Ovis aries: one gene and its partner. The protein of the gene in region 1 purifies or fractionates together with the protein of each later gene. This does not show direct contact. Links are inferred from orthologs where the notes say so. Each region holds a gene or a part of one and is shown in the gene's direction. Other genes may lie near its edges. The genes, in order: ZNF462 and CBX5.

What was found.
Region 2: the proteins of ZNF462 (region 1) and CBX5 purify together in Homo sapiens (affinity purification with mass spectrometry; 3 studies listed by BioGRID and IntAct, counting the BioPlex papers as one, with this or other methods). This does not show direct contact. The link is inferred for Ovis aries from reciprocal best matches to the Homo sapiens genes ZNF462 and CBX5.

Annotation. Positions count from the first base shown.
Region 1 is NC_056055.1:16,186,837-16,202,535, reverse strand, and holds part of ZNF462 (zinc finger protein 462), read left to right. Parts: intron 1-7,076; 5' UTR 7,077-7,103; coding exon 7,104-7,326; intron 7,327-8,496; coding exon 8,497-14,108; intron 14,109-14,868; coding exon 14,869-15,033; intron 15,034-15,699. UniProt on the Homo sapiens protein: Zinc finger nuclear factor involved in transcription by regulating chromatin structure and organization. Involved in the pluripotency and differentiation of embryonic stem cells by regulating SOX2, POU5F1/OCT4, and NANOG.
Region 2 is NC_056056.1:132,279,774-132,295,949, forward strand, and holds the start of CBX5 (chromobox protein homolog 5), read left to right. Parts: upstream 1-6,725; coding exon 6,726-6,859; intron 6,860-10,985; coding exon 10,986-11,172; intron 11,173-14,469; coding exon 14,470-14,570; intron 14,571-16,176. UniProt on the Homo sapiens protein: Component of heterochromatin that recognizes and binds histone H3 tails methylated at 'Lys-9' (H3K9me), leading to epigenetic repression. In contrast, it is excluded from chromatin when 'Tyr-41' of histone H3 is phosphorylated (H3Y41ph).

The DNA of each region.
Region 1 (15,699 bases):
CAAAGGCTTTGAAGCATATAATTAGTTGCTCCTGAATCCCTGTGGCTGCAGTGCTTCACGGCTTTATTTCTGGTCTGCAGTCCTTCAGTCAGGGAACAGTGTAGGTCCAGACAAGGCCTGCACGTTTTCATGTGGACACTTCCTGGAGACAGTTGGGATTTTGATTGAAAATACTCATGCTGCATGCAAGCTTGGAGAACAGTGCTCCCCAGGCTGACCTGGGTGCAGGTTGGTGGTGGCAGGATTGTGGAAACAGCCTCCAGCAACCCAGGGTGCCTCCCTTCTCCTGTTGGGTCTGGGCAGTGAGTGGGGAAGACACAGCATGAACCCCTGGAATGTAACCTTTCACTTTCACAGGAGGAAAACAGAGGCATAATGGGCCCCTGGAAATTCTAAACACAGAACATGGTGGGCAGATGGTAGAAATTAAAATTGGTGATTTTAAAGAATTGAAGTATAGTTGATTTACAATGTTGTGTTACTTTCTGATATACAGAAAGTGATTCAGTTATACATATATATGTATAATATATTCCTTTTCAGATTCTTTTCCGTTAGAGTTTATTATAAGATATTGAACATATTTCCTTGTGCTGTACAGTAGGACCTTGTTATTTCATATATAGTAATTTGCTAATCTCAAACTCCTAATTTATCCTTCCCCCCATTCCCCTTTCCCTTTTGGTAACCATAACTTTATTTACTATGTCTTTGAGTCAGTTTGTTTGGTAAATAAATTGACAATTGCTGTTTTTAAGATTGAGAAAGAGCAGCCAGTGGCCATTCTTTCCATTTCCCTGTTCTCAAGTGTATATTCCCAACCGTTCACAAGATCTCTGGATTTTCCTTAAAAATGTCTTCAAGAGTTTATGCAACATGAAAGTTGGGTTTTGGGTTTTCCATCAAAACCCCACCGCGTGAAACACCCAGCCTATAAATGTAAAGTGAACAAACCAACCAGTGGTAATCAGTAGTACTGCAGAGTCATGGAAAGTTGGAATAGTCTAAGAGCCTAGATCATTCAGGTATGACCTAAATCAAATCCCTTATGATTATACAGTGGAAGTGAGAAATAGATTTAAGGGCCTAGATCTGATAGATAAGAGTACCTGATGAACTATGAACAGAGGTTCGTAACATTGTACAGGAGACAGGGATCAAGACCATCCCCATGGAAAAGAAATGCAAAAAAGCAAAATGGCTGTCTAGGAAGGCCTTACAAATAGCTGTGAAAAGAAGAGAAGCGAAAAGCAAAGAAGAGGAAAGATATAAGGATCTGAATGCAGAGTTCCAAAGAATAGCAAGAAGAGATGAAAAAGCCTTCCTCAGCGATCAATGCAAAGAAATAGAGGAAAACAGCAGAATGGGAAAGGAGAAGGTAGTGGCACCCCACTCCAGTACTCTTGCCTGGAAAATCCCATAGATGGAGGAGCCTGGTAGGCTGTAGTCCATGGGGTCACTAAGAGTCGGACACGACTGAGCAACTTCCCTTTCACTTTTCACTTTCATTCATTGGAGAAGGAAACAACAACCCACTCCAGTGTTCTTGCCTGGAGAATCCCAGGGACGAGGGAGCCTGGTGGGCTGCCGTCTATGGGGTCGCAAAGAGTTGGACACGACTGAAGCGACTTAGCAGCAGCAGCAGCAGCAGCAGAGATGTCTTCAAGAAAATTAGAGATACCAAGGGAACATTTCATGCAAAGATGGGCTCGATAAAGGACAGAAATGGTATGGATGGACCTAACAGAAGCAGAAGATATTAAGAAGAGGTGACAAGAATACACAGAATAACTGTACAAAAAAGATCTTCATGACCAAGATAATCACGATGGTGTGATCACTCATCTAGAGCCAGACATCCTGGAGTGTGAAGTCAAGTGGGCCTTAGAAAGCATCACTACAAACAAAGCTAGTGGAGGTGATGGAATTCCAGTTGAGCTATTTCAAATCCTGAAAGATGATGCTGTGAAAGTGCTGCACTCAATATGCCAGCAAATTTGGAAAACTCAGCAGTGGCCACAGGACTGGAAAAGGTCAGTTTTCATTCCAATTCCAAAGAAAGGCAGTGCCAAAGAATGCTCAAACTACTGCACAACTGCACTCATCTCACACACTAGTAAAGTAATGCTCAAAATTCTTCAAGCCCGACTTCAGCAATATGTAAACCGTGAACTTCCAGATGTTCAAGCTAGTTTTAGAAAAGGCAGAGGAACCAGAGATCAAATTGCCAACATCCGCTGGATCATGGAAAAAGCAAGAGAGTTCCAGAAAACATCTATTTCTGCTTTATTGACTATGCCAAAGCCTTTGACTGTGTGGATTACAATAAACTGTGGAAAATTCTGAGAGAGATGGGAATACCAGACCACCTGACCTGCCTCTTGAGAAATTTGTATGCAGGTTAGGAAGCAGCAGTTAGAACTGGACATGGAACAACAGACTGGTTCCAAATAGGAAAAGGAGTCCGTCAAGGCTGTATATTGTCACCCTGCTTATTTAACTTATATGCAGAGTACATCATGAGAAACGCTGGGCTGGAAGAAGCACAAGCTGGAATCAAGATTGCCGGGAGAAATTTCAATAACCTCAGATATGCAGATGACACCACCCTTATGGCAGAAAGTGAAGAGGACCTTAAAAAGCCTCTTGATGAAAGTGAAAGAGGAGAGTGAGAAAGTTGGCTTAAAGCTCAACATTCAGAAAACTAAGATCATGGCATCTGGTCCTATCACTTCATGGGAAATAGATGGGGAAACAGTGGAAACAGTGTCAGACTTTATTTTTGGGGGCTCCAAAATCACTGCAGATGGTGACTGCAGCCATGAAATTAAAAGACGCTTACTCCTTGGAAGAAAAGTTGTGACCAACCCAGATAGCATATTCAAAAGCAGAGACATTACTTTGCCAACAAAGGTCCGTCTAGTCAAAGCTATGGTTTTTCCAGTAGTCATGTATGGTTGTGAGAGTTGGACTGTGAAGAAAGCTGAGTGCCGAAGAATTGATGCTTTTGAACTGCGGTTTTAGAGAAGACTCTTGCGAGTCCCTCAGACTGCAAGGAGATCCAGCCAGTCCATTCTAAGGGAGATCAGTCCTGGGTGTTCTTTGGAAGGACTGATACTAAAGCTGAAACTCCAGTACTTAGGCCACCTGATGCGAAGAGTTGACTCATTGGAAGAGACTCTGATGCTGGGAGGGATTGGGGGCAGGAGGAGAAGGGGACGACAGAGGATGAGATGGCTGGATGACATCACCGACTTTATAGACCTGAGTTTGAGTGAACTCTGGGAGTTGGTGATGGACAGGAAGGCCTGGCGCGCTGCGATTCATGGGGTCGCAAAGAGTCGGACACGACTGAGTGACTGAACTGACTGACTGAACTGAGAGGTTTCACGTTAGGAGGACTAATCACATTAGGTGTTAGCTTATTTAGGAACAAACCCATATTCATCTGCCTGCCACGGCATCATCTTGGATGGTGTTGAGAGTCTAGTCTTCCGATGCCTGTTTGACCTTGAATTGTCTGGAGATATTGTGTTGGGATTAGGAGATGGGGGTGGGGGGTGCTTGTTTGATTTGTAGATTTATCTCATGACCTTTTGAAATAGCATTTCTTTCTAGTTAGTTCAGAAGCTTTCTCTGCTTTTGATTTTGCTGATTTGGTCAGTGGGAAAAAAAATATTACTAATAATCTCACTATCGCAGCTGTATTTTTAAATAAAGTAGATAGGAGATCAAGGCTGTTAACTTTAAATCATCATTTGGTAGCTATCAGTGTCTGGTTTAGCCTTTTAGGGTTGCTGTTCTTTCTGGGTTGATGAAACAGTCAAATATGCAGGAGCGTATTTCTCATCTTTGTTCCCATCTTTGTTGTTGGCTTCTCAGAGGATTACCATCTGCTGCAAAAACATCCTTGGGTTGATGAATGGGTCATCCTCAGGTCCAGCTTTCCTCCTCCTCCTCTCACTTCTTGCCCATGTGTCCGTCCTCAGTCTCATAAACACATCAAGTCTCTGTGTCTTTGATTGTTGAGGCCATGCTGGCAATTTCTGTTTTCTTCTTCTGTCAACGTCTCCAGGAGCAATATGTGCACAAAGACAAAATGCCTTTCAGAGGAGGCTACATCCTCATTTCAGGACATCAAATTGAAGGCCGTTCAGCCGTACCTGACGCTGGTTCTCTTGGCAGCCTGGAGATTAACCTCTTCCAAGGCTCTGCACTATTTTTGAGGTAGAGTCTGCAACAACATTAAAGCTAGAACCCATTAGGAAATCGCTTTCATCATCTCTTCTTTTTCCAAATCAGGGCCTTTTTTTTTTTCCTGATCTCCTAACCCTTTAATCTCCTTTGTAGCAGAACAAGAAGGCTGTTGATTTCTGTTTGCATCCAGTGAAGTCTGAATCCTTGATAACAGCTTTGGAAGACACCAAGATATTAGAGACCCATGTGGAGAGATGAGTTTCATCTCTGGGTGGAGGACTTAATGCCAAAGGTGTCCTGCTTTCCTTGAGCAGAACTGTCATTTTTTTGGTGGATGTAGTGAGAATGAGGCTCAAACTTTCCAAAAGACACACAGCAGAAAGCCTTCTGTTACATTATGTCTAAAGGCTTGAAGTTTTGAAGGGAAGAGATTTTGTTTTCCTCCCGGCTACACAATGGAGCTTTCAGAGAACCTCTTTTAAAAGGAATAGCTACAGCCTTTGTGTTGAAGGGTGTGCCTGTTGGCAGGGTCTGCTGATGCAGACAGACTGGCTGGTGATTAACAAAGGTCATTAGACTTTGGAATCCGGCAAGCAGAGTCGGATGGTATGTCTTCTGTGTGTGGAAGGACGACTCCCAAGAAGCCAAGGCATTCTGGAGGTTCCCCCCCTCCAGCACACCCCCAAAGGCTGCTGGAGAACAGGGTCATGTCCAGGAACGTCCTGCAGTAACCAGGGCTGTGCTGGGATGAACGTACCAGCCCATCAATCATGGGATAAAAGAACCTTCGGGAGATCCTTGGTGAATGACATGTGAGGAGGAGAAAGGTGCTGCTTTTTCGGGAAGGAGTGAAAACAGTTCCTTCTTTGTTGAGAGGAGGAGGGCAGAGGAGGGGCCCAGACTGCTCCTCTCCTGTTTCCTCTGCCTGTCAGCCTGGCAGCATCCATCCCAGAGAAGCCATGTTGTGCTCGGAGGGGAAGCTCTGAGCTAAAATGGCCGCTCCTAAAGCTCAGAGGACTAGGGCAGCTTAGTGAGTCTTAGAGCTTCAGTGACGCAGGAGCTCCTATCTCTTGAAAGTGTGATAAACACATTCAGCAGAGCTGTGGCTTGTTTGGCTGAGATGAAAGGACTAAGCTGGGGGGATGGGGAGCGCACCCTGGATGATCCGCCTTTTTGCTGTGAAGTGTTCTAAATGCAGGAGTCGTCTGCACTATGGAAAAATTTGTTTTCAGGTCTAATGGGCTCTGCGAAAAGGAGAAGTGGGGTGGGGCGTCCGTGTCGGCTGTAATTTGATCCAGAGCTGATAGCAACCTCTTCCACACAATTTGGGTTGGTGCTGAGACAGAAAAAAGCTGGTGTGGCCCGGAACATGGAGGCTGAGTTAGCTGAAAAGAAGTCTGGTGCACAGTTCAGGGTTTATTGAAAAAGGAGAAACTGCTGGGTGAAAGGAGAGAGGGTAGATAAGTGCCTCTCGCCCTACGAGCTCAGGCTGTCCAGAGCTGGACTTGCCAGGAGTTATTTTCACAGGCTATCAGCAGGAGCATTCTTTCAGAGAAAATCCTCCTGTCATAGCGCCTTTCACTACATTGACAGATTCCTCAACTTTATTCCTCTTGCAGAAATAATTGATCTTTTACAATAAAAGTATAGGAAGGTGCTAAATACGACCAAAGTAGTGAAAGGTTTGGCTGTGGCTTTTGTGCTTGGACATCTGGTTCTAGATTTCATTGGCTTCGTAGAGTCTGCCATGAGCTCAGTGAAGTAACTCCGTCATTAGGATAAGAACTGGGTATCTCAATTCAGGATATACATGAAGATAGGAAGGGCATGCCTTCTAATACATTTTTAACTTCTTAATGGTGAGTCTCTCCATTGAGTTTATGGGAAGCTATGTGTATCTTTCAGTCACACAGTAAATAGCAGGGCAGAAGTGGCCAGGGCAAGTTTTGCCTTATTCGAAATCAGCTTCCCAGCTTTTTATGCCCAAGTATGTACTTCACATTCATAAAGGGGAAAAGTGGAAAAAGAGGAGGTCCTGCCTTAAAAGCCCTTCTTCCAAACCACATGTGTTTCTGTTGCCTTAGTGTGAATTGAGGGACCAAGGTGCAACTTGAAACTAGAAACTGGATTGTCATCTAGAGTTGGTTGTTTGAGAATCTCATGAGAAATATTTTATGACCTAATTAGATTGGAGAAGCTGTTAGGTTATAATTGGTAGGTAGTAAAAAGCAAATAACCATTTAGCTCATGAAAAAAAAGAGAAAAAAAAAACCCTGTGTAGGAAAGGGAAGGAAGAAGGAGGTGTATCTTAATATCAGTTAAGATAGTAGAAGAATGAAAAGTATAGTAAAAGCTTTTTCCACTGCTACTCTGAGGTTCCACACTGTTTCACCATTTGCTGGTAAAACATTGATGTTCTTGTATTAAAACTGCTAATGAAGATTGAAGTTTACTCTTTCTTCTATATGGGCAGTCTCTTTACTTCTGAGAAGATTCCGGTTCAAAAAGAAAATAGGTCTCAGCCAGAATCAAAGTCAGTATTAACTTACCAAGAAATCTGAAATCAGTCAAGACATTGAGAAACTACGACAACTTTTGAAGTATTAAGGGTTTTTGTGACAAATGGCATTTGAAGATATATGAAGCTAGAAAAAGTTTATCTTTTTTTTTTTCCTCCTTTCTTTGAAGTTATGATGTCAAGGACACCATTCCTATTATGTCTGATTTCCTTTCTTTGACCACTGTTGCATCTGGCAAAGTCCAGTGAGAGAAATTGGCTGATACTGGAATTCCTCCATTAGTGGACTCATAGCCCCACCAGCTTGGGGGTATGCAATGAGTGCAGGCCTTAAGACGTTTTGTTCTGCCTTCTGCCCCAGGTTCCTAATGTGAGAGAGTAGACCCAGATGATGGAGGTGCTTCAGTGTGATGGCTGTGACTTCAGAGCCCCATCTTATGAAGATCTCAAGGCGCACATCCAGGATGTCCATACGGCATTTCTGCAGCCGACGGACGTTGCTGAAGACAATGCGAATGAGTCACGATCTGGGTCCATGAATGCCAGTAACCAGACAGAGGTGGAGTTTTCATCTATAAAGGATGAATTTGCAATTGGAGAGGACTTAACAGGTAAATCTGTCCTAGGATTGATGCGTCTGGTGTATTTCACTACCCTCATCTATTTTGAGCCTATAGCTGTAGTTCTTTTTTAAAATGTTTTGACAGGAAAGTAGGGTTTACTGGTGGGCATGAGTAAGGAGGCGATAGCATCAAGACTCTAACGAGTGCAGAGCCCGCCATTTGTCCAGAGGGCCACCATAAGGGGTGTATTTGACCCCACCACCATCTGGGATGAGCCACTTTTCTGCACCATATTTCCAGATTCGTCTGCAGGAAACTTAGTAAATCCCCACTTCCTGGAGGAGTGGCTCTTCTAGTGGCCTGGGAACTTGAACTTGGCCCTGTGGAGGGCCTCAGTCACATACTCCTTGTTCTACAACTTGATATGAATGGATATTATGACTTGGCCAATGTGAACCCCGGCCACTGTGTCTTGGGGCTTTCTAAAGTCCCAGCACATACCCTGTCTGGAGCCTGGCTTGGGGTTGGCATGCCAGTCAGGAATGTCCCCTGGAGGGGACTGTCCTCAAGTTCCTTAGAGCAACCTGTATAGGCAAAGGCTGTGTACCCTACTGAGGCAGCTGTAGCCATGGTTCTTGACATGCACAGCTCCTACAAAGTTTCTCGCTCCTTGTGAGCCATTTTTCTTTTCTCTTTCACTGCACCATACAACTTGAGGGATCTTGGTTCCCTGACCGGAGATTGAACCTGGGCCATGGCAGGGAAAGTATAGAGTCCTAAGCCCTGGAGTCCCCCTTTGTGAGCCATGTTTGTGATTTGGGCATCATGTTTCTCTTATTGAGTAGCCCAGGCAATAGTCCTTTCAGCTTCCTTATGTCACTTCGCTTCCTTTCAACTTGGAGCATAAGGTAGTATCTTGGAAAGTTCTAGAATGAATATCGCAGTTTGTGAAACTTGCACAGCTCTGTGGCGCATAGAGATGGGGGGAGTCTTGCACCTGAAGCCGAGCACTGCCTTCCATCCATGAGAGGCAACATGTGGATGTTCATTAACACCGTTACTACTCTTCAGGGCCTCATCTTGAGATGTTAGGCCTTTTGAATGTGATGTTTATTAATGAGGAATAATTGAAAAGCAAACTGGATTTGCATGATTGAGTTTCTTGATTTGCTTTTGCTTTGCTCTTCTCTTCCCACTTACCTTATGCTTTCTCTTTAGGTCAAAATGCAGCCGCACTGGGGACTGGAAGTTACTATGGCCATAGTCCAGGATATTACAGTCAGCATATTGCCCCTAATCCCAAACCAACAAACAAGTTTTTTCAATGCAAGTTCTGTGTACGCTACTTCAGGTCAAAAAACCTCCTCATTGAACACACTAGGAAGGTCCACGGAGCTCAAGCTGAAGGGAGTTCAGCCGGACCCCCTATTCCAGGATCCTTAAATTATAATATCATGATGCATGAGGGATTTGGAAAGGTCTTCTCTTGCCAGTTTTGCACATACAAGTCACCAAGGAGGGCAAGAATAATTAAGCATCAGAAGATGTATCACAAAAACAATTTGAAGGAGACCACTGCTCCCCCCCCTGCCCCCGCTCCAATGCCAGACCCGGTGGTCCCACCCATGTCCCTGCAGGACCCCTGCAAGGAACTGCCAGCAGAGGTTGTGGAGCGCAGCATCTTAGAATCAATGGTCAAGCCACTGACCAAGTCTCGAGGCAACTTTTGCTGCGAGTGGTGCAGCTATCAGACTCCCCGCCGAGAACGCTGGTGTGACCACATGATGAAGAAGCACCGCAGCATGGTCAAGATCCTGTCCAGTCTCAGGCAGCAGCAAGAAGGGACAAATGTGCCTGAGGCGCAGAACAAGAATGACCTCAGCCCCACTTCTAACTCCACCTATTTGTCCATGAATGCTGCCAGCCGGGAGTTACCCAACACTAACGTCTCCAACTTCAGGGGCTCTATCGGCAACTCCATCATGAGACCCAACTCTTCTTCCACTTCCAAGTTTTCGCCCATGTCTTACTCTCAGATGAAGCCGAAGTCACCTCACAATTCTGGCCTCGTTAACTTGGCGGAGAGATCCCGTTACGGAATGCCCGAGATGACCAATTCTTCTGCTGACCTGGAAACTAACAGCATGCTGAATGACTCCAGTTCTGATGAAGAGTTAAATGAGATAGACAGTGAAAATGGCTTAAATGCTATGGATCACCAGACAGTAGGCATGTCTGCAGAACAGCTGATGGGCTCAGATGGCAACAAATTATTGGAGACCAAGGGGATCCCATTTAGAAGATTCATGAATAGGTTCCAGTGCCCCTTTTGTCCTTTCCTCACCATGCATCGACGTAGTATTTCCCGTCACATAGAAAACATCCACTTATCTGGAAAGACAGCCGTCTACAAATGTGATGAGTGTCCGTTTACTTGCAAGAGCTCGTTAAAACTTGGGGCTCACAAACAGTGTCACACGGGTACCACATCAGATTGGGATGCTGTGAATTCCCAGAGTGAAAGCATTTCCTCCTCGCTGAATGAAGGTGTCGTGTCTTACGAGAGCTCAAGCATCAATGGCAGAAAGTCGGGGGTCCTGTTGGATCCCTTGCAGCAGCAACAGCCGCCCCCGCCTCCGCCTCCACCGCCACCACCACCTCCGTCACAGCCGCAGCCGCCGCAGCTACAGTCGCCCCATCAGGTGCCACCCCAGCCCCAGCTGCCCCCGCCGCCTCCCCCGCCGCCCGCGCAAGCCCCACCCCTGCACCCCTACAAGTGCACCATGTGTAATTACTCCACCACGACTCTGAAAGGGCTGCGAGTTCATCAGCAGCACAAACACTCTTTCTGCGACAACTTGCCAAAATTTGAGGGGCAGACCTCAAGCCTGCCATTGGACAGCGAGACAGACAGCCACCCCTCTTCCAGCAACACTGTGAAGAAAAGTCAGACCTCAATTCTTGGGTTGTCCTCCAAGAACAATTTTGTCGCCAAGGCCTCTAGGAAGCTCGCTAACGACTTTCCACTCGACTTATCGCCCGTGAAGAAGAGGACCAGAATTGACGAGATAGCAAGCAACCTGCAGAGCAAAATTAACCAAACAAAACAGCAGGAAGATGCGGTGATCAACGTGGAAGATGATGAGGAGGAAGAGGAGGACAATGAAGTGGAGATCGAGGTGGAGCTGGACAGGGAGGAAGACCCACCGGAGCCCGTCCTGGAGGTGCCCACGCCCTTTTCTGCCCAGCAGATCTGGGCGAGAGATGCCCCTGAGCCCCCGAAGGAGCCCAACTTCAGAACTGTTGCTCATGACTACAATGCCACCAATGGGGCTGAAATAGAGCTCACCCTTTCGGAAGATGAAGAGGATTATTACGGCTCCTCCACCAACATGAAAGATCACCAGGTTTCCAATACGACTCTGCTCAACACCCAGACTCCGATCTACGCAACTGAGCACAATAATGAAAATACTGACTTCAGTGACTCGGGAAGGCTTTATTATTGCAAACACTGTGACTTTAACAACAAATCTGCCCGGAGTGTCAGCACCCACTACCAGCGCATGCACCCATACATTAAGTTCAGCTTCAGGTACATCTTGGACCCCAATGATCACAGTGCAGTGTACCGGTGCCTGGAATGCTACATCGATTACACCAACTTTGAAGACCTGCAGCAGCATTACGGCGAACACCACCCAGAAGCCATGAATGTCCTCAACTTTGACCACTCGGACCTGATCTACCGGTGTCGGTTTTGTTCCTACACAAGCCCGAACGTCCGAAGCCTGATGCCACATTACCAAAGAATGCATCCCACCGTGAAGATTAACAATGCCATGATATTTTCGAGCTACGTGGTGGAGCAGCAGGAGGGGCTAGGCACAGAATCCCAGACGCTGCGGGAGATCCTGAATTCGGCTCCGAAGAACATGGCCACGTCCACTCCCGTGGCCCGTGGTGGCGGTATGCCAGCTCCGTTCCCCAAAAACACTCCTTCCAAGACCTTTCCTCCAGAATGTGAAAATCAGAAGGACCCCTCGGTCAACACCGTTGTCGTGTACGACTGTGACGTTTGCTCCTTCGCGAGCCCCAACATGCACTCTGTGTTGGTTCATTATCAGAAGAAACACCCAGAAGAAAAGGCTTCCTACTTTAGGATCCAGAAAACCATGCGAATGGTGTCTGTGGACAGGGGCTCTGCCCTTTCTCAGTTATCATTTGAGGTGGGTGCTCCAATGTCTCCCAAAATGTCCACCATGGGTTCCCCACCCCCCCCACAACCCCCGCCACCAGACCTCAGTACTGAGCTTTACTACTGCAAACACTGTTCCTACAGCAATCGGTCAGTTGTGGGAGTCCTTGTCCACTACCAGAAAAGACACCCAGAAATAAAGGTTACTGCCAAATATATCAGACAGGCTCCTCCCACAGCTGCAATGATGAGAGGGCCGGAGGGGCCCCATGGCTCCCCCCGGCCACCCGCCCCTATGCAACAGCTCAACCGGAGCAGCTCCGAGAGAGATGGCCCTCCCGTGGAAAATGAGATGTTTTTTTGCCAGCACTGTGATTATGGGAACCGGACGGTCAAAGGTGTCCTCATTCATTATCAGAAGAAGCACCGAGACTTCAAGGCCAACGCGGATGTGATCCGGCAGCACACAGCCACCATCCGAAGCCTCTGCGACCGCAACCAGAAGAAGCCTGCCAGCTGCATGCTTATCTCCCCCTCGGGTGTGGAGCGGGACAAAACAAAACTGCGAGCGCTCAAGTGTAGGCAGTGCTCGTACACCTCCCCTTACTTTTATGCCCTAAGGAAGCATATCAAGAAAGACCACCCTGCCCTGAAGGCCACGGTCACGTCCATCATGCGATGGGCATTTCTAGATGGCTTGATAGAAGCTGGCTACCACTGCGAGTGGTGCATCTATTCCCACACAGAGCCAAGTGGCTTGCTCCTGCATTACCAAAGGAGGCACCCCGAGCATTACGTGGATTATACCTACATGGCCACCAAGCTCTGGGCAGGGCCAGACCCGTCCCCTCCCTCTCTTACTATGCCAGCTGAAGCCAAAACATACAGATGCAGAGACTGTGTTTTCGAAGCCCTCTCCATCTGGGACATCACCAATCATTACCAAGCATTCCACCCTTGGGCCATGAACGGGGATGAGTCGGTGCTGCTGGATATCATCAAGGAGAAAGATGCCGTGGAGAATCCCATGTCTTCCTCTGAAGACCTGGTGGGCCCTGTGAGTTGTGAAAACAGTATGCCCGGCCCGCTCCCTGAGCAGGAAGCTGAATGCCCCGAGGATGCCAGGCTTTCCCCTGAGAAGACGATCCAGCTTGCCTCAGCGAACCCCGCCATCTCCTCCACCCCATACCAGTGTACAGTGTGTCAGTCTGAATATAACAACCTGCACGGCCTTCTGACCCACTATGGGAAGAAGCACCCAGGCATGAAGGTGAAGGCTGCCGACTTTGCCCAGGACATCGATATCAACCCCGGCGCTGTCTACAAATGCAGGCACTGCCCTTATATCAACACCCGCATCCACGGGGTCCTGACCCACTACCAGAAGCGACATCCGTCCATCAAGGTGACCGCAGAGGACTTCGTGCACGACGTGGAGCAGTCCACCGACATAGCCCAGAACGACGTAGAGGAGACGAGCAGGATCTTCAAGCAAGGGTACGGCGCCTACCGCTGCAAACTGTGTCCCTACACACACGGCACTTTGGAGAAGCTCAAAATCCACTATGAGAAGTACCACAACCAGCCGGAGTTCGATGTCTTTTCCCAGTCGCCCCCGAAGCTGCCCATGTCCCTCGAGCCCGAGATAACCACTGAAGTGAGCCCCTCCCAGGTCTCGGTGATGGAGGACGAGGTGGGAGAGGAGCCCGTGTCCACGTCTCACTTCGCTACCTCGCACCTCGTGTCCCACACTGTGTTCCGCTGCCAGCTCTGCAAGTATTTCTGCTCCACGCGGAAGGGCATCGCCCGGCACTACCGTATCAAGCACAACAATGTGCGCGCCCAGCCCGAGGGCAAGAACAACCTCTTCAAGTGCGCCCTGTGTGCCTACACCAACCCCATCCGCAAAGGGCTGGCTGCCCACTACCAGAAGCGCCACGACATCGACGCCTACTACACCCATTGCCTGGCGGCCTCCAGAACCATCAGCGACAAGCCCAACAAGGTGATCATCCCGTCGCCACCCAAGGATGACTCCCCGCCACTCAGTGAAGAGCTGCGGCGCGCCGTGGAGAAGAAGAAGTGCTCCCTGTGCGCCTTCCAGTCCTTCAGCAAGAAGGGCATCGTGTCCCATTACATGAAGCGCCACCCGGGGGTCTTTCCCAAGAAGCAGCACGCCAGCAAGCTGGGGGGCTACTTCACCGCGGTCTACGCCGACGAGCACGAGAAGCCGATGCTGCTGGAAGATTCGGAAGAGAGAGGTGGCTTCGAGAAAGCCGAGGTGGAGGGAAACGAAGGGCAGGACATCGAGTGGCTCCCGTTCCGCTGCATCAAGTGCTTCAAGCTGTCCTTTAGCACGGCTGAGCTGCTGAGCATGCACTACACGGACCACCACAGCCGGGACCTCAAGAGGGACTTCGTCATCCTGGCCGGCGGCCCCCGGCTGCAGGGCTCCGCCTACCAGTGCAAGCACTGCGAGAGCAAACTGCAGAGCACCGCCGAGCTGACCTCGCACTTGAACATTCACAATGAGGAATTCCAGAAGCGTGCCAAACGTCAGGAGAGGAGGAAACAGCTTTTGAGCAAGCAGAAATATGCAGATGGTGCTTTTGCAGATTTCAAACAAGAGAGGGTAAGGATATGTTTTGATTTCCCTTCCCCCAGGAGGCCTCTCATCACTGGTGCCCACATGCACTTCTTCGCTGCCAGCCAAACCGCTCCAGGCTTCCTAGTGACTTAGCTTGCCAGAGAGCTCAATAAGTCAATTAAACATTTCGAGCTTGATTATCTCCCCCATTCTCTGCTCACCCTTCTCCACAGCCCCGGCCCCCCTCCCTGTGGTCCCTCCCAAGGCTCCCCAGGGGAGGGTTGGGTGGTTTTCCTGTATTATCCGAGGCCTAGTTCACGACAACGGCTCGCTCTCTTAACCAAGGCAGTTGTGGGCCATCTCTCGTGTCCTTAGTGCTTCTCAGCCACGCCTTGGTTTGCAATGTCGGCTCCACGAACCAGACATCTCCAGGAGTAGATTTTTGTTTTTCTTTAATTTTTTTTGGTCAAGAAGTTCACTCATGGCATAGCTCATGCAACGTTTCACCTGCGTAGTTGAACAATGGGTTTGAAAGCCAGATAACTGGGTGGCAGTGACGATGAGGCTTCTGCACCGAGAACTTCTCTCCTTACAAGTCATCACCTATTGGGGTTCCGGAGACTTTGCGTAGTCGGCAGCGCGCCTCGCCTCTGATGAATTCATTATGTAAAAATGCTCGCATATATCTCCCTTGGTTTTTAACCTGCTAATCTGCTGTAACGTAAAATCTAGTAAGCTGCAAGAATAAATGCCGGCCGTTGAGGGAGGGCTTGGAGTACTGATGGCTACCACTGTATTTTACCAGCCTTTTGGTCACTTAGAAGAGGTGCCAAAGATCAAGGAGAGGAAGGTGGTGGGCTACAAGTGTAAATTCTGTGTGGAAGTGCATCCGACGCTCCGAGCCATCTGCAACCACCTCCGCAAGCACGTCCAGTACGGCAGTGTCCCCGCCGTGTCCGCCGCCGTGAAGGTGAGCACTGGGAAGGTCTGGATGAGAAGTCTTGTGTGTGAGCCATTTGCATTCCTAATCCACGCCGCTGCTCAGAGACACTCAGGAAAGGGAGTCCCAGACGTGGGCATTCCTGAGTTACACTGGGGTCGGTCTGGCTTGTTTTGATTTCTTTACAGGATGGATCTTCCTCATCTGTGGTTGCGTTTCGATCTGGTTCCCTTCCACACGGATAGTTCAGTGGAAACAGAAGATCCGGGCCTCAGGATACAGGAGGCTTTGGGTCACCTTTCTGTGCTGTGTTTGTCTGCGCTTCCAAGTGTTTCGAGCTCTTGAGAGGAGCCCCGTGGGTTCTCTCCCCATCCTCTTCTGCTCCTCCCACTGCCTAACTTCTTGTCTGTCTTTCTCCCATGGTAATGGTACAGAGAGCCCAGGAGAATCTGTCTTTTAACTTCTTATTCTGGGTCCTCGGAGGAGCATTAAGAAACGTTAAACCTAAAACTGAAAGCCTTCAAGTCACAGGTGGCCCTGTGAGCCCTTTGGCCTGATTTGTCCCCTTTCCCTATATGTTGCTGACAAGCGCCTCCCCTCTGCCTCCGACGTGTTATCAGGCCACCTGTTTTGAAAATCACAATCTTAAATACTAGCCACTGTTGTAATAACCAAGCCGCCATCCCTGCTTTCTAG
Region 2 (16,176 bases), on another chromosome or scaffold:
AATATAGGAAAAAAAAAAATCCCATGTAAGATTATTTTGTGGGATTGTGATCTGGTAATGAGATATCAAGAATGTGTGTGTTACTGCTAAATATACCAATGAACCAAACATAAAACTGAGTTGTTCTGAGAACTGCTGTAGTACACATTCATTTATATTTTTTAATGGGGTCAGAGCTTAGAGGACAATACAATGAAATGTATAGGGTAGCCTTTATCTCTATTTATAATGTATATGTTTTAATCTAAAAGAAGAAAAGACTCTTTACTCCCTTGCTTGCTGGTACAGGAGGGTTAGATAATCAGCAAATAGGATACTTTGCCTCAGAATAATTCTGTGACTGGTGGAAGCAGCGCCTTGGCCTGATTTTTAAAGGATGGAGAACTGGAACTCCGCTGGTCCAGAGAGAAGCATTTCCTCTCTCCACACTCCTCTCTATTAATAAAGTTTGTGTTGCCTAGATGTGGCTTGTTAATGATAGGGGTGTTAACGACCACAGTTAATCTTCCTCCTCAACTCTTTCCTAATCCAGTCTCTTAAATAGACATTTAAAAAGCTTTTAACTCCTCTTGAATTGGGTGCTCATGGGCTTTTGGTGGAGGTGAAGTGATAGTTATCAGCCCATTTAACAAAACCTGAGACAGCCAGGACAGCTGTAATGTGCATCTCTATGCTGTGTTTTTGTTAAGATGCCACATGGCTAATACTTCGGAAATCATAAATCTAGTGGAAGAAAACATCTTTATAGAGGGTATTTTAGTTTTATGCTGTATGTGTGGCAAACCTAAAACCATTGGTACTTCTAGATCTATAAAGAGCAAAGAATACAGACCAGATTAAAATGGTTCTGTAAATTTGGTTTCTTTTCATCTGTTTTATTTGCTACCATAGGCTATAAAGAGGACGCCTTGAAGACAACGCTGTAGCTGACAGTTTAATCTTCACATAAGCCAACAGCTTTCCCCAAGGGCCTTAGGGGAGACTTGGGAGTTTCTCAAGCCTGGACCAACGGAAGTTGCCCATCAGTGGCATATTTAATTAATACATGTGAGAGGGACCTTTGCATATGCCCTCACCCTTTTCTGCTCTTTAGAATGACTTTTTTTTATAGAAGATTTGCGTTCCTAGTGTGCTTATAAAATTTATGTTAAAATTGTATAAAAGAGCTCATTGATTAATGCATTTTGACACTTGGTTTGACTACCACTGCCAGATAGTTCAGCAGGTAGTTCAGTGAGGCAACTTAGCAATTGCTTTTGTTACTTTTTAAACAATACAAAGAAAGCTTAGAGAAAGACTTAGAATTATTATATATGTGTATGTGTGTGTGTGTTGGCTGCCCTGGGTCTTCACTGCTGCACACAGGCTTTCTCTGGTTGTGGTCAGTGGGGGCTTCCCTTCTTTGTGGTGCGTGGCCTTCTCATTGCAGTGGTTTCTCTTGTGGAGGAGCACAGACTCTAGGTGCACAGGCTCAATAGTTGTTACTTGTGGCTTCCGGGCTTTAAAGTGTGGGCTCAGTGCTGTGGTGCGTGGGCGTAGTTGCTCTGCGGCCTGTGGAATCTTCCTGGACCAGGGATCCAACCTGTGTCCCCTACATTAGCAGGTGGATTCTTACCCACTGCACCACCAGGGATGTCCTATTTTTTATATATATACATATATACACACACACACACATAAATATATATACATATACACTGTGTATACATATATGTATATACACATATGTGTATGTGTGTGTATATATATGCTTTTGCTTGTCAGTTGTCGTGAAAATGCAAAAGCCATCAGGACAACTGACATTGAAAAGTAGTGAATGGAGGGATTGGGCAGAGTACACAAACCAACGATCTCATGTGAGTGGTTCTCTGCTTCCAGTATTGATCTGTTAATGCAAACAGTTAATCATGACATCTGTTGTTCTTCTGCGTTGCCCCAGCTTTCTGTGATGCCCTCTCTAATTTCTGGGGACTGGCAGTTTTTACTTTTTTTGAAATCTTCTTTTACCCTTACAATGTGTGGGATTTTTGGGTCCCGCTCTGCTTCACCTCCTCACCTCTTCCCGTTTTCTCTTTTTTTTTTTTTTTCTGGAAGATTTCATCTGTTAAAGAAGTTTCCTGTCATCGACTTGGAATGTGCATTCTGACTGCCTGACCGCAAAGGTCTTTGATGTTTGTCCAAGGCTGAATTCTCACCAGATTCCCTGGCTTAGGTGTTTTCCCCCAGCACACAGGGGCCTGCCTGCAAGGTGAATTTGCCTTGTGTCATTGATATGAAGGGTGGGTGGGGCCTGCTCTCTTTCGTGATCTGATGGGCAGTTAAATTGCTGGACTCTGTCAGTAGTTGTTGATGCCTTTACCAGAGAGTTCCTGTGTGTGTTCAAGAAAAGGCTGAGATCTGTTATGTCTGAAAGACGGGACTTGAGAAGCTCACCGCTTCCCATGGAGATTTCCATAAGGATAATAAGGTTGTGCTCAAGAGGCTCGGCGTCTCTTCCTCCGGCATGGTATTGGGATTCTACCTTAATCTCTCCATCATCCTGCCAGCCATGTCTCATTTCTCACGCTGGAACACTCCCTCCTCCCAAGCTCAGCGTGAACCACCAGTCTAGATGCTTTATCTGGTCCAGGCTCTAGCCCTTAAATTGTCCGTCTGGCTTTGTGTTTCATTTGACCCTAATACACTGGGTCGCACTGTCTAAAAGAGAATTATGTCCCCTCCGATGTCTGAGTGCATTTCTCATTTCTTACTGCTGCTCCTGAGCAGATCTGTAACTTCAAGGTTAAGATAAGACACATTCCATCAGAACTATGTCGTCATCCTTGCTAGCTTCTGATCTGTGACTGTCCAGGAGATTTACAAGACAATTGCATGCCATTCTTTACAGAATATTATGGTTGGACTCTGACTCCTGGCATCAGGCCCAATTTGATTTGTCAGCTGTTGCAAAACCCATTTCCCAAAGAGAAAAGGATCTTAGCCATGTGCCTTTTAAGCCAGTTCTTAAGAGTGGGACAGAGGGAATTGATCTGGTTCTTCATTTCCTGATGTTTTAAGGAGAAAGATGGAACACCAGAATGTTTTTGTCCCTTTCCTCGTTGGATTCCCTTATTTTCCCTGAAAGGTTTCACTAAAATCTTAGTATTGCTGTCATTCTTTCCTGTCCCTTATCCCTTCACAGAACCTGTTTTTTCATTCTGCAGTCTCCAATGTTTTCCTGAGTTTTAAGGAGTAAGAATTTTGCCCTTGAGAGAAAAGGTTACCTGCCTTTTCTCTGAAAGTGTATTGGTTTACTAGCAGCAGGTTAACAAAGACAAGGTTCCCCCTTTCTTGCTCTCTAACATGTGGAACTGCAGGAGTTACTGCATGTAATATGGCTTAATGGCTTAGGAATTTGGAAGGTCACGTATTTCCTGCTGCTGTTGTATTAGGCCCTGTAATATTTTATAAAAGCTTCTCTTGGGGGACTTAACAGCCTCTGGTTTCAACATAAACTCACCCTTTCCCTTGGAGGTAGGCAGTGGGGATTTATTTGGCCCCCTTTAGTGATTCTGAGGTTAGACCTAAAATTTCTTTACTCAGGATCACACATGGCAAGTTAATCACAGAATCACAACTCTGATCTAATTCCTTTGGCATTATTTTCATATCCCTTAACTACAAAAAGTTTTTAAAAGTTACGAAGAGTTGAGAAAGGCAGATTTTACTCAGATTTCCTGATGAGTCTATTCAAAGTTGAAGAAATTCTCGTAGTTGAAAACTGCCCATTGTGCTCTCATTCCCTACAGTTTCTTCTGTTTGATAGGCAGAATAATCACCATTCTTTTTTTTTTTTTTTTTTCCCCTCAGTCGGGTTCTTGGCTTTTGATTGTCCCTTATTCATACTCTCTTGTGGCAGCAGCCTTTGTCTCTAAAAGACTCATATCTGTAAAGAAGAGAGCAGAGTTGTGGAGCTCTCTAAAATGTTAAGGCCGGCAGAAAGGAACATTCACAGGACTGCAAGTCTCTTAAGTCTCTTTTCTTTATCTCAGTCCTCCTTTTCTCAAGTATTAGGAATTTTTAATACACGAGGTTTTAATTATTATATTATATAATTAATGTTCCAAGTGGGTAATTATTTTAAAAATTTTTTTTATAATATTACAAAAACAACTAATGAGAAGTGGTTTTCAATTAACAGTAATGGTTGTGAGTGGACTGTTCCTTCCCTTTTTTAAAACTACTGGAGAATTAAATTGTTTTCTATCTATAATTTCAGTTGAAAGAGTCTTCGGTAGTGCTTCAAGTCTCTAGATTCTGTTTCTGAATCTAGTAATCCCCCAAGAAGGAAAGTTGTATAGTATCTTTGAAATACTTCTCCCTTTCCTGTTACTCCCTGCACCTCCCCCGCCTCCCAATTTTAATTAACTGTTCAGTGACAGATGGTAGAAAAGACCTCGCCTAAAGTGTTCCTGGTGGGCTGGATTAGGGGGTCGGTAGTTTGTCCTGATCTTGTTGTAGAAGGATCTAGCCTTTCCCCGCCCCCGCTTCCAGTTGAGCGATAATCCTGTTATATCTTAAAATGCTATTGATTAAATTCCCAGTGCTCTTAGAGAAATAAGCACAAGTTCTGGATTTAAAAACCCAAGAGCCAATTCCCTGGAGCTCTGAATGCCTTAGACTTGAGGCCAAGGGAGGTACCTTCCAACTTCTCCACCCAGCCTTCTCTGAAAAGGAAAGTTAAGCCTTTTAACTTTTCCGTTTGCTTCTCTCCCCCCCTTAGTCTAGTAAGGCTGCCAGTTGCCATGGCAACGGACTGGGACAGCTGCGCAGTGGCGCCTAGGCAGCTGGGTGGGGGCGGGGGAGCTGCCAGCCCGCCAAGCCCCAGACCTGGGAGGGGAGGCCCCTCCTGTTAGCCCAGAGGGAAAGAAAGAACTGGGGCGATCCGGTAGGTAAAGGAGGGAACCCCCATTCATCTTCTGCCTTTGGGGCTCCTCTTCTGCATGAAGGTATAAAGGGAGATTGTCCTCTTTCCTCCCTGAAACTGAAGAACACATATGTAAATCCTTGTTTTTCCTCGTGAGGCAGGGGAGGCCATAGTCACAATGCTTAACTGCATGCATCTAACCCGGGGCTGGTTTTAACCCTGGCGCTCTGACCTAAACTGCTCAGCTCCCGGAAATTCCAAGGTGAGTGGGGGTGGGGTGGGGTATTCTCCCTGGAATAGGACATTTCCTGTCTCTGGTGAGGTTGGAGGCTGCTTTTATTTTAAATAAATCAGATTTTTTTTTTTCCTTGAAGCTAAAGGACTCCCGTCTGAATTCGTGGAAAAATTATTTTGAAACTCCTTACCTTACGTTCCCCACACTCCCACTCCCTCATCCAAATGAAGTATTTTGCTAAAAACATACAGACAGTTTTTTGGGTGGGCAGACCTATTGCTAGTAAGTTCTGGAGGTATGATTTACAACTATATATTCTTGGAATAATTCCCTAAATTTTGCTAGTTTGAAGTAAATTGATTAATGCAACTTTTTATGGTACTCAAAGACAAAATTCTGAGATTAGTAGTGACCTTTCCTGTTCCTGGGGTGGTCATCTGATCAGAAAGAAAATGTTTTTAGAATGCTGAAAAAAAGCTTTAAGGTTTACAGCAAAATAAAATGGAGTTCAGCTAAGAAAACAATCCCTGCTACTCTATAATCCAGACTCTAGGCACCATTTAACATGGTTAAGGAAGAATTCTTAAAAATGATTGTGCTGACAACAAGGAGGGAATTTAAAACACTAGAGTCTCTGCTGCATACCCCCTGGTTGTGCATGTTTCTGAGCTTAACTCAATTTCCATTTGTGTTGCCTTGCTTCAGCTTTCCTTGGGCCTATGAATGGTTCTTCTGTGTTTGGAGGCTTCATGTTGCTGTGAGTCTGGGACCAGACCTCTTGTTTTCCTCCTCCTCTTCCTTTGGCCCAAAGTCAGCTCCAGTTAAGAGGAGAGGTACCTCCTTAATATTTGGATTAGTTGAGCCTTAAGAATTACCGAACAGCCCAATGACTAGTTTTGATTTTTAGGACTAAAAAATATTTTTCTCCTCCATGCCTCCCTCCGATCCCCAAATGAAAGATGAGGCTTAATATATTTGAGGTGTCAGCCTTGCTTTTGTGAGCTGATGGGTGCTCTGAAGGGACAAGCTCAGTTTGTTGAAGGGAAATGTACCGAGTCACTGAAAATGTGGTGAAACATGCCCGAGCAGGCCTTTTTTGTCCTGTTAAGAGACTGTTCAGGATGCTCAGAGCAGAAGAAAGTTAGATTTTGCTGGCTTTTCTTTTTTTTCTCATTTTTATAGAAAATCTTATTTAAATGGAAGGTTTTCCATGTTTCTGTTCCAGTTTATGACTTGTAGACAGTCGTAGAGGTACCAGGAGTAAAATACCACCCTACTTGTTTTATAGACTCTGAAATTAGAGTTAGATAATTGTGCCCATCTAATAATTTTGATCTTGTGAGCTGAAGAGGAAGTTGTAATTAAGAAAGTGGGGACCTGCCCATTTTTGGTTACCTTCTTAGGACTCATCTGTAGAATGTTTCAAGACCCAAGAGAAAGGTACATGGCAGCTTTGTGTTATACCTGCTGCATCCCATTGAGAGACTGAACATTTTAACTGCTTGCATGGATTCTGACCATTTTTGTCCTTCCCATTTGCAGGAACCCGGTGGCCTTAGTCCTTCAGGTGAATCAGCGTGAGACATGGGAAAGAAAACCAAACGGACAGCTGACAGTTCTTCAGAAGATGAGGAGGAGTACGTTGTGGAGAAGGTGCTAGACAGGCGTGTGGTTAAGGGACAAGTGGAATATCTACTGAAGTGGAAAGGCTTTTCTGAGTAAGTACTTTCTCTCATGCTTTGGGACTCAGGGAAGTAGACAGCTTTGGTTCATTTCCCTGTGAACCATCACCATCTTTGTCATATTCTTTCCTCGCCTGCACTCCTTTCTAAGAGTCGCAAGACACAGCAGTGAACTAAGCAAAGTCTCCCCTTCTTGGAGCTGATGTTCTAATGAGACTGCTTTTGAGAGGCAGTGTAATGAACTGGTTAGAAGCATAGATTAGGGGCCAGATTGCCTGCGTCCAGATTCTTGCTCCCACCACTTACAGTATGAGCTGGGTGACCTTGCTGAAGTTCCTTAATCTTTCTTCCTCAATAAAATAGGGATAAGAAATAGTATATATCGTAGAGATGTTGGGGAGATGTATAGAGTCAGACACATAAGGTCAGTGTACGTGTAAACTGTTGTTGTTATTTTGGATGTAACGAAACTAAAATACATACATTTAAGTAGAAGTTGTAGTTGATCCCATAGCGCTCCATAACGACCCTTGGCCCTCAAAAGTGTCCTAGGATGAAACACTCATCTTTGTTATTTTTTTGTAACACTCATCCTAATAAGATAATAAGAGACTTAAATCTGAGACCCAATATTTATTTTTAAAAATGTAAAATATATATATATAACTGACGCAAAAGAAATTGAGTGAACACTCAAATACATACCACCTCATTTCTACAATAACATTTTAATATAATCTTTATTCCTCAATCTGTCTTTTTTACTATTAAAGACCTTAAAACCCCTCTTTTACGTCAGTGAGCTTTAAGAATGATACTGAAGTGTTGAGTATTCAGAGTTAGGCAGTAACTGGCTTTAAGTGCTGAAGTAAATATACACATACTGAAGCATAGAAGAGGTAGCTTGAAAAGTGAATTGCATGAAGCTGTGTAATCATTAGGCATTTTGCCTTAATTTCTCATTAATTCTCTTCCCAGGATGCCTGATAACAAAGAATGGATTTCTGTGAACACCAGTGAGCTGATAGGAACTGGTTTAGGCTCCTAGGAGTATTCAATAGGAATGGAATGCAAGCCAGATGTAATTTTAAATTTTATGGTGACTATATTAAGGAAAAGTGGAATTAATTTTAATAATATATTTTATTAGACACTCCCACCAAAATGCTATTTCAAAATTAATACAAAAATTATTAATGAAATTTTATATTTTCATGCTAAGAATTTAAAATCTGTTGTATATTTTTCATTTTGTAGCACATCTCAGTTCATGCTAGCCACATTTCAAATGTTCATTTACCATATGTGGCTAGTAGTTACCGTATTAAACATCGCAACTTAAAAGTGTGAGACTTTAATAAAAGATTGAATGCTTTGTCAGTCCCTTTGGACAAAGGTATGATCAGGAGCCTTTGGAGTATAGTTAAGGTTATTGTGGGAATCAAGTTTCTCATCTGGAGCATTGTTGGTGTTTTAGTTGGGACAGTTCATGCACTGCAGGATGCTTAGCATTTGTAGCACAGAGAGAACTAAATGTGGGTAGCACAGCAGTCAGAATGTGCCCTCCATGTTTCTAAAGAAGCATGGTATCGCAGCATCCTCTAGAGTTGAGCACTACGGATTTGAGAGGCCTAGAGCATCATGAGATAGGAATTAAAATACACCTTCAGGAAGGGGGCTTCCCTGGTGGTCCAGGGGTTGAGAATCTGCCTTGCAGTGGAGGGGGCACTGGTGTGATCCCTGGTCCAGAAAGATCCCACGTGCTTCGGAGCAACTAAGCCCTGGGTACCCCAGCTACTGAGCCAGCGGTTTAGAGCCTGTGCTCTGCAGCAGGAGAAGCCAACGCAATGAGAGACCTGCAGACCGCAACGAAGAGTAGCCCCTGCTTGCTGCTGCTAGAGAGAGCCTGAGTGTAACAGAGAAGATCCACCACAGCCAAAAATAAAATAAATCTTTAAAAAACAAAAGTACACCTGAAGACTTTAAGAATGTTTATTTGACCCATTGAATCATCACTGGAAATTGTTGGGTATTTTTGAAGAATTTGAAGACTGTGTAGTTGAGCTATTGATACCTTACATAGATAAAAGAGGTAAAGAAAAGATTTAGGGTAGATGGATTAACATTTGTCCTGAGTTTTTCAAAAGTATCCAGAGTTTCATTAAAGACTGAGACAGATTGTGCCCCTTCAACACTGTCCACAACTGAGTACCTACTGTTTGCTAGGCAGTGGTTATATCCTACCTCATGTGTTCTCTGTAATTCTCATAACAGCCTTTAGAGGTATTTACAGATGAGGAAATTGTTTACTAGAGATAACATACCTGATACATGCTAAAACAAGGATCCAGCATCACATTTCTTTGGTGCTAAAATGCAGATTCTTAAAAATAAATAAAACTAAATGCAGATTCTTTGTAAGTTATACCATGTTATCTTTTGGGTGAAAACTGATTGATGTAGAAACAATACTAACCTGGTGGGGAAAGGGATAATCCCCTTAGAAGATTGGCTTTCCTTGGTGGCAACAGAGATTCTTCTCCTACCTCTGCATCTTAGCTTGCTTACTGTACTACAGTGTTGGCATGCCTCTTGGTTTTTGTGCCTTAATTTCTCCTGGGATAGTAAACTATATATAATCTGTGAATTTGGGAGAAAGTTATTGTATGAGGATTTTTTTTTTTTTGGCTGAAAGAAGAGCTGTGAGGGAGAGGCTTTCCAGTTTTAGCTCAAATGATTTAGAAATAAACTTTGTTTCATTCTTAAGCTCTTTTTGCAGAAAGCTGAAGTCTAGAGTAAATAGCTCAGATTTTTCCATCATTATTAAGTTATAGCATGTGTTCAAACCATTCTTATTTAAAGATACTACATCGTTTTTGTTTTTTAATGAAGTATCTAAAATAAATAGTGCATAAATGTAAAAAATATTTCCTAAGTCAGTGAAGGGATTATAGAAACTGTGTCTGTGATATGTGTACAGATATATCTTAATGTAGCTAGTTCTTAATGAAAGAACCTCTGCCACTGGCTAGGAGTGAAGAGGATGCCTGGTCTGGTTTTTCCCAAAGAAGATAAATTTCTTGCTTTTATTACATAACCTGCTCTTGGTATTAGTGATTTGCACTTCTAAAATCCATGCTAGAAATACAGAGAACAAGTTTGTGAATGCAAACTTTATTTTCCTCATAGAAGGACTCCCCTTGATCCGAGTTTAATTAGACACAGTTATTTAACTTGAATTATTTTTGCTTATTAATATAGAAATGCATTTTGATTACCTAGTGACAGTAGACCTGAATCCAGAGCAATGAATGAATGGGCTCCAAATCCCAGTTTTGAGTCTTTTCCTTTTTATGGTTCGCTTATATTCTAATGATTTAACCCCTTACTGCCTTTTTTTCTAATTAACTACTGAAGTCTTCCATCAATTTGCTGGCATTTCTTGGAAATATAAGTAACATAATTAAGACAGTGTAAACTGGAATGCATTTAGAATTAGATTGTCCTCTCTCCAGGATTTGCAAAGATGATGTATGAAATCACATTTGCCACTTACAAAGCAGAACTTATATTTGAGTGTTTAACAGGTTTATTGAGCCATAGTTTACATACCATAAAATTCATTTACTGAAAGTACACAATTCAGTGATTTGTGGTAAATTTTTAGAGCTGTGCCGCCTTCAGCATAGTCCAGTTTCAGAACATTTCCGTAACCTCCCCAAATTCCCTTGGACATTTTTGTATTTAATTGCAAGCCCCAGCCACAAGGAACGACTGATCAGCACCTGTTTATTTTAGCTTAGCACAGTCTAGAAGTGCTTCCGTGTTGTAGCATATATTAGTATTACGTCCCTTTTTTGTTGCTGAATAGTATTTCATTGTATGGATATACCATGTTATGTTTATCTGTTCGCCTATTGGCAGGCATTTGAATTGTTTTCTGTCTTTGACTCCTAAAATGCTGCTATAGTTGTGTGCAAGTTTTTTTGTGTGTGTGTGTCTCAATATATTGGATAGATTCTAGAATCAAATTGATTATCTCCTTTAAGCATAGGAATTCTATTCCCTTTTTGCCTATTTGTCTTCTGTAAAGTAAGGTATTGGATTTCCTCCTACCCCAAAACTTCTTCATTTCTTTCCTTTTTTCTCCATTCTTGCCCAGGGAGCACAATACTTGGGAACCTGAGAAAAACTTGGATTGCCCTGAGCTAATTTCTGAGTTTATGAAAAAGTATAAGAAGATGAAGGAGGGTGAAAATAACAAACCCAGGGAGAAATCAGAAAGTAACAAGAGGAAATCCAATTTCTCAAACAGTGCTGATGATATTAAGTCCAAAAAAAAGAGAGAGGTAAGCTTCATTTCTCCTCTCCTTCCCCCCCACCCCCCACTCTTCTGCTTCCTGTGCTTCCTCCTCGCTTCACCCAAAAAAGAGGGGCACTGTTTTGGTTGTTTTTATTCTAGGGATGGCCTATACGGTAAATTGTTGAACACAGGAGCTCCCCGGGGAGTTTTGTTGATCCACTACAGCGCCCCCTCCTGGCTGAGTAAGAAATGTACTATGTGTCCACTGAATTGTGTCAAGGTGGCAAAATTAAATCCCTGTAAAACATTCAGCCACTCAGTGCCTTTTTTGTGAATAGGTGGCTGAGTTGTCTTATGGAGAGTCTTCAGTGAATTTTTTAGGGATAGAAAGAAGCTTTAAAATATCTACTACTTCACTTTTTTCTTTTATTCCAAAGAGAGCACTTAACTTTAACCCTTTATATTCTTTCTTTTTTAACCAGGTGAAAACACATAACATACAACTAACCATTTTATTTTTTTTTTTAATTATTTATTTATGGCCACACCAACACATGTAGGATCTTAATTCCCTGACCAGACTCAAACCCATGCCCCTGCATGGGAAGTGCGTAGTCTTCACCACTGGACTGTCAGGGAAGTCCCCAGTTAACCATCTTAAAGTGAACAGCTCAGTGGCATGTGTAGTCTCTCTTGATCCTATTGTATTTTTGCATTCTTCAAATAAATTACTTTTCATCTTCCTTATGAATATTTTTATTGTTCAGTTTTTGAAAATGTGTTTATGAAACTTTGGTTTGATTCAGTTATTTTAATCCTTCTGATATATAGCTGTTAAGTAACTAGCCATAAGCACTGTTCCTGTCTTTTTTTTTTCTTGTCTATATCTTTTCCATGTGTGCACATGTGTCTCCATCACCCCCCACAGCTTCCATTCCTTTCATTAATTTCAAGGTTGTGAAGTCTTTTGTGGTGAAGGATATATCATACCCTTAAAGTTTAATAAAATAAAAGTGTAAGTCTGCTTCTGAATCTTCTAGCATCCCTGCCATAAGCATCCATATTTATCTTCATTCTCCTTGGATACCCGTCTTGCTAGAGCATTAGTTCTCAGCCCTGGCTGCATATTAGACTCATGGCAAGGGGGGCAGGCGGGTGTTTCAAAAGCCTCCAGTATTGCTGTGGAAAAAGAAGCCTCCGGTGCCCAAGATGCACTCCAGACCAATAAAATTCAAATTTCTGTGGGTTGGACCTATGCGTTAGTATTTTCTAGAGACTTACACAGGTGATTCCTGGTCTCCAGAGGAGAGAAAATGGGAGAACAACTTTCCAAAAAGAATTGAAATAAGAATGAAAGATTGGAGGCTGTCAGTGAAAGTGGACGCTAGTATTTTGTTTGTTTCCCTGATTAATTTTATTTTTTGCAATCTTATTTTTTAAAACTCCCCTGTTCTGGTGAGGTGTGTATATCATTATGATATAGCATACTAGTAGATAATTTGAAAATGCCTTCCCTTCTCTAAGGAGCTAAGACTTGGGTCTGTCTTTCTGTTTTACTTTTTTATTAGTCCTTTGTATTCTGGTTCTTGTCATTTGATGCATTTTCCAGCTAAGTAAAGAGACCAAGAAACAACACAGCATGACTTCTGTAGCCGTTTTTGACATTCAGTGTGTATTTCCTCAACCTAACGTTTATGTCCTTTTAAAAAGGAGCAGTCTGGGGGTGGGGGGGGGGGAGGAGCAATCTGACTTTGAGACACTGGCCAGTGCAGAGTTTGGTTCCTAGGCCAGGATGCTGGCCTTTTGATGCTGCTGACCTTGAAAACCACCCCCACACACACATGTCCCTTACATTGTAATGTTCATCTGGGGCCCCTGGCAGCATTCTCAGCAGTGCTGATGGCTGTCATGTAGGCAGCTGGTAAGATAGGTGATTGTATATTTTAAAGGTGCAGGGGGGGATTTCGTTTCTTTCTTTAGACCACTGCAGAGGAAATTTGTTAGTCGGCATTATGCCTGATTTAAGATTACTGCCTGTGTGATGATTTTAGCATTTTCCTCGCCTCGGCTCCTTTTCAGCTGCTTGAACATTTTTCTTCTCTTCCCTCCCTATGTGGCAAACTGTTTTCAGCCGCCAGCTATGATTTACGACTTGGTTGCTGTGCCAGCATTCCAGCTGTGAGCAGCTGTGTGCACATCTGGGACCCTCCTCCCTTTAAGCGCCCCCAAAAGAGGCTATGCTTTTGAGCCTGTATGTCCCCTGATTCATGCATGGGGTTTCCTGCTCCGTGCGGGTCCTGGTATCTTTGGGACCACCTGGATGCTGAAGGCTTTGTATCTCTCAGAAGAAAGCAAGGTGAAAGGCAGATCAGAGATTTTAGCATGAAAATCAGACATTGGCGATTTAGTTCATTTGGACAGTCTAAGTCTTTTTTGTGTTACCATTAGATAAGCTGGCATTATCTTCCATAGTAAGGTTGTTTAAATTACCTGGTTTGTATAAAATTTCACCATTTTGCTCTCACCAGTGCCATCGAAACGGAATCAAATCCTATGCTCCTTATCTAGATTGCATGATTGCAATTTGACCAAGTTTGAATAATCCCCTACAGAATTTTTTTTTTTTTAATCCCTCTCCAGTTTACTCTATAAAGCTAATGACCTATCTCCATCAGGAGGGGACAGGCACAGATCAGGACCTCTTCCCCAGTTCATGGGGATTATAGTATGTGATCTCTGAAAGAAATTTGCTATCTTATGGTAGTTCTTTGAATCCCTTCTTAATCTTAATCATTGTTCATTTGTAAGTACAGATGGCTATGTGTAAAGAAGTATTAAAAATACTGGTCAAAAAAAAAATAAAAATAAAAATAAAAATAAAATAAAAATACTGGTCAGTATTAGGTGAACTGAAAGTCCAGAGAATAAACTCCAGATTGAGAGGTGGTATAGTTGAAGTTTATAAAATGAAAAAGGATTTAGTTCACCTGGACTTGTTTAGCATCTGAGAAGCAAGTTTAAGGATATTAGATTAGGGGATGAGAGGAGTTCCTAGATGATGACTCCAGAATATTTAAGGGATATTAGCAGTTTTAGGGGCTACTCCCAGGCCTTTGATGAAATACTAAAAGGACAGCTGCATCTTCCTGCAAAGTAGCTCTTAGCATCTCTGTTACTGGCTGACCCAGTATTGTATTTCTGCAGTTCTAAGAACTTTATGAATTGAGTGACAAATATGATATCCAGTAATATTAACTTAGGTTGTGTTTTGTTGAGCTGAGAAACAGGAAGGTTTTCTACTCTTACCTCCAAGCCATAACCTTTCTTCATCTTCTGTTTATAGCAGAGCAATGATATCGCTCGGGGCTTTGAGAGAGGACTGGAACCAGAAAAGATCATTGGGGCAACAGATTCCTGTGGTGACTTAATGTTCCTAATGAAATGGTGAGAGAGATTGGGCCTCCCTCTGCAATTGTGTTTCTTTGCAGTGACTTGAATTCATATGGAAGATAGGGAGGGAAGACTGAGTACTCCCCAGCTAAGAATTTTGATTGTCAGGGATCTAAATTTTTAACTGATACCAGCTGTCAGTATTAAATGGGAATTACGGTTCAGAGTGGATTTAAGATTGTAAAACTTTGGTATTAAGCCAAATTACATTAGCCCACATACCAGAAAATGGTAGAATTGAGGTAGGAAACATATAAACATGACCTAACCATTTATTTACACAGTTCTGAATCGTTTACCGTTACACCATGAGCCTGTGGCCATGGGCTAGAAATTGAGTGAGGCTTTCTGCCACCACTGAAGACCAAGACCGCTGAATAATGTATAAAAGAGAAAAGTAATCTTAACAAAAAGCATTAAGGATAATACTAGCCAAAGCACAAGTTATTTCATCCGGTAGAGGGAATAGCTTTAGAGGAAAGTGTAGTTGCTTCCCCTCAGCTTGGTTTCTTAAAGTCAGAGTGATTTATGGTGCAGCCCCCCTGCCTTTCTGTTTCCAAGTGTTCTGACTTGTGATTTAAGTTGGATCTCTAAATAGAGGGTTCCTGCTACAGTGCCACTAAGGAAGCTAATTACCTTGAAAGTTGGATAGTCAGGAGGTTTAACATTTTATTTGATCGAAATTTTGCTGGTAAATTACCCAGAAGCCTATATTTGAAGAATCACTATAATCTGTCCAAAGTCAGGAGCTGTATTGCCTGCTCTTCCCACTTAGCCATATGTGGAACTTAACGATTTACATTCACATATTAACTAGCTTTTTCCACCACAGTCCAAATTTGGGTAGCTGCTCTAAGCTGTGTGTTTCCCCCCTCCTCTTCCTATCCATAATGCTTACCTCCATGAGTTCAGCATCTCCATTTTCTAGAAAAGGAGTTAGGTGGAGGGGAAAAAAAAGAAGTTAGTTGTCTTTTCCCACATCTCAGTGGAATGTTAATTTAAAAAAAATTTTTTTTCTTGATTTGGAATCTTGATTAAGGAACTTGCTAGATTTTTGTTGTTTTTGTTACACTGGATAGTAAAAAGTGTAACTTGAGTAATTGAAATTTGCAGCTAATTCCTGCATTTCATTTTAGTGACTAGGTTTTACATTCTTTGCTGACTTAGGTTTCTATTTTCTTATTGTTCCAACCTACAGTTCTGACCAAAGGGATGAGTGTTTAAAAGGCCAGAAGATGAGGAGGGTTAGGACCCTTTCATGATCCAGATGATCCAGAAATTGGATTGAGCAATTTATGCGTAATCAATAGGGCTGAATGTAGCTTTGATTGTGTGTTCACTCACATGCTCATACACACAAATAAAACTTCTGAAAGCAGAATTTATAGAGTAGTTTAATTTTCAGCCTTTTAATTAAACCCGATATGTGTTCCATCTATTCTAGCTGAAGACTTCTATTTTCTTCCTGATGTAGTCATTAAATGATGTTTACTAACAATTTGATTCATTGGAGCCGTTAGGATCCTTTTCCTTTTGATGGAGAGGAAATCAAGTCAGCTAATTCATAATTCAGTAACACAAACCAGTGTTTGGACAGACT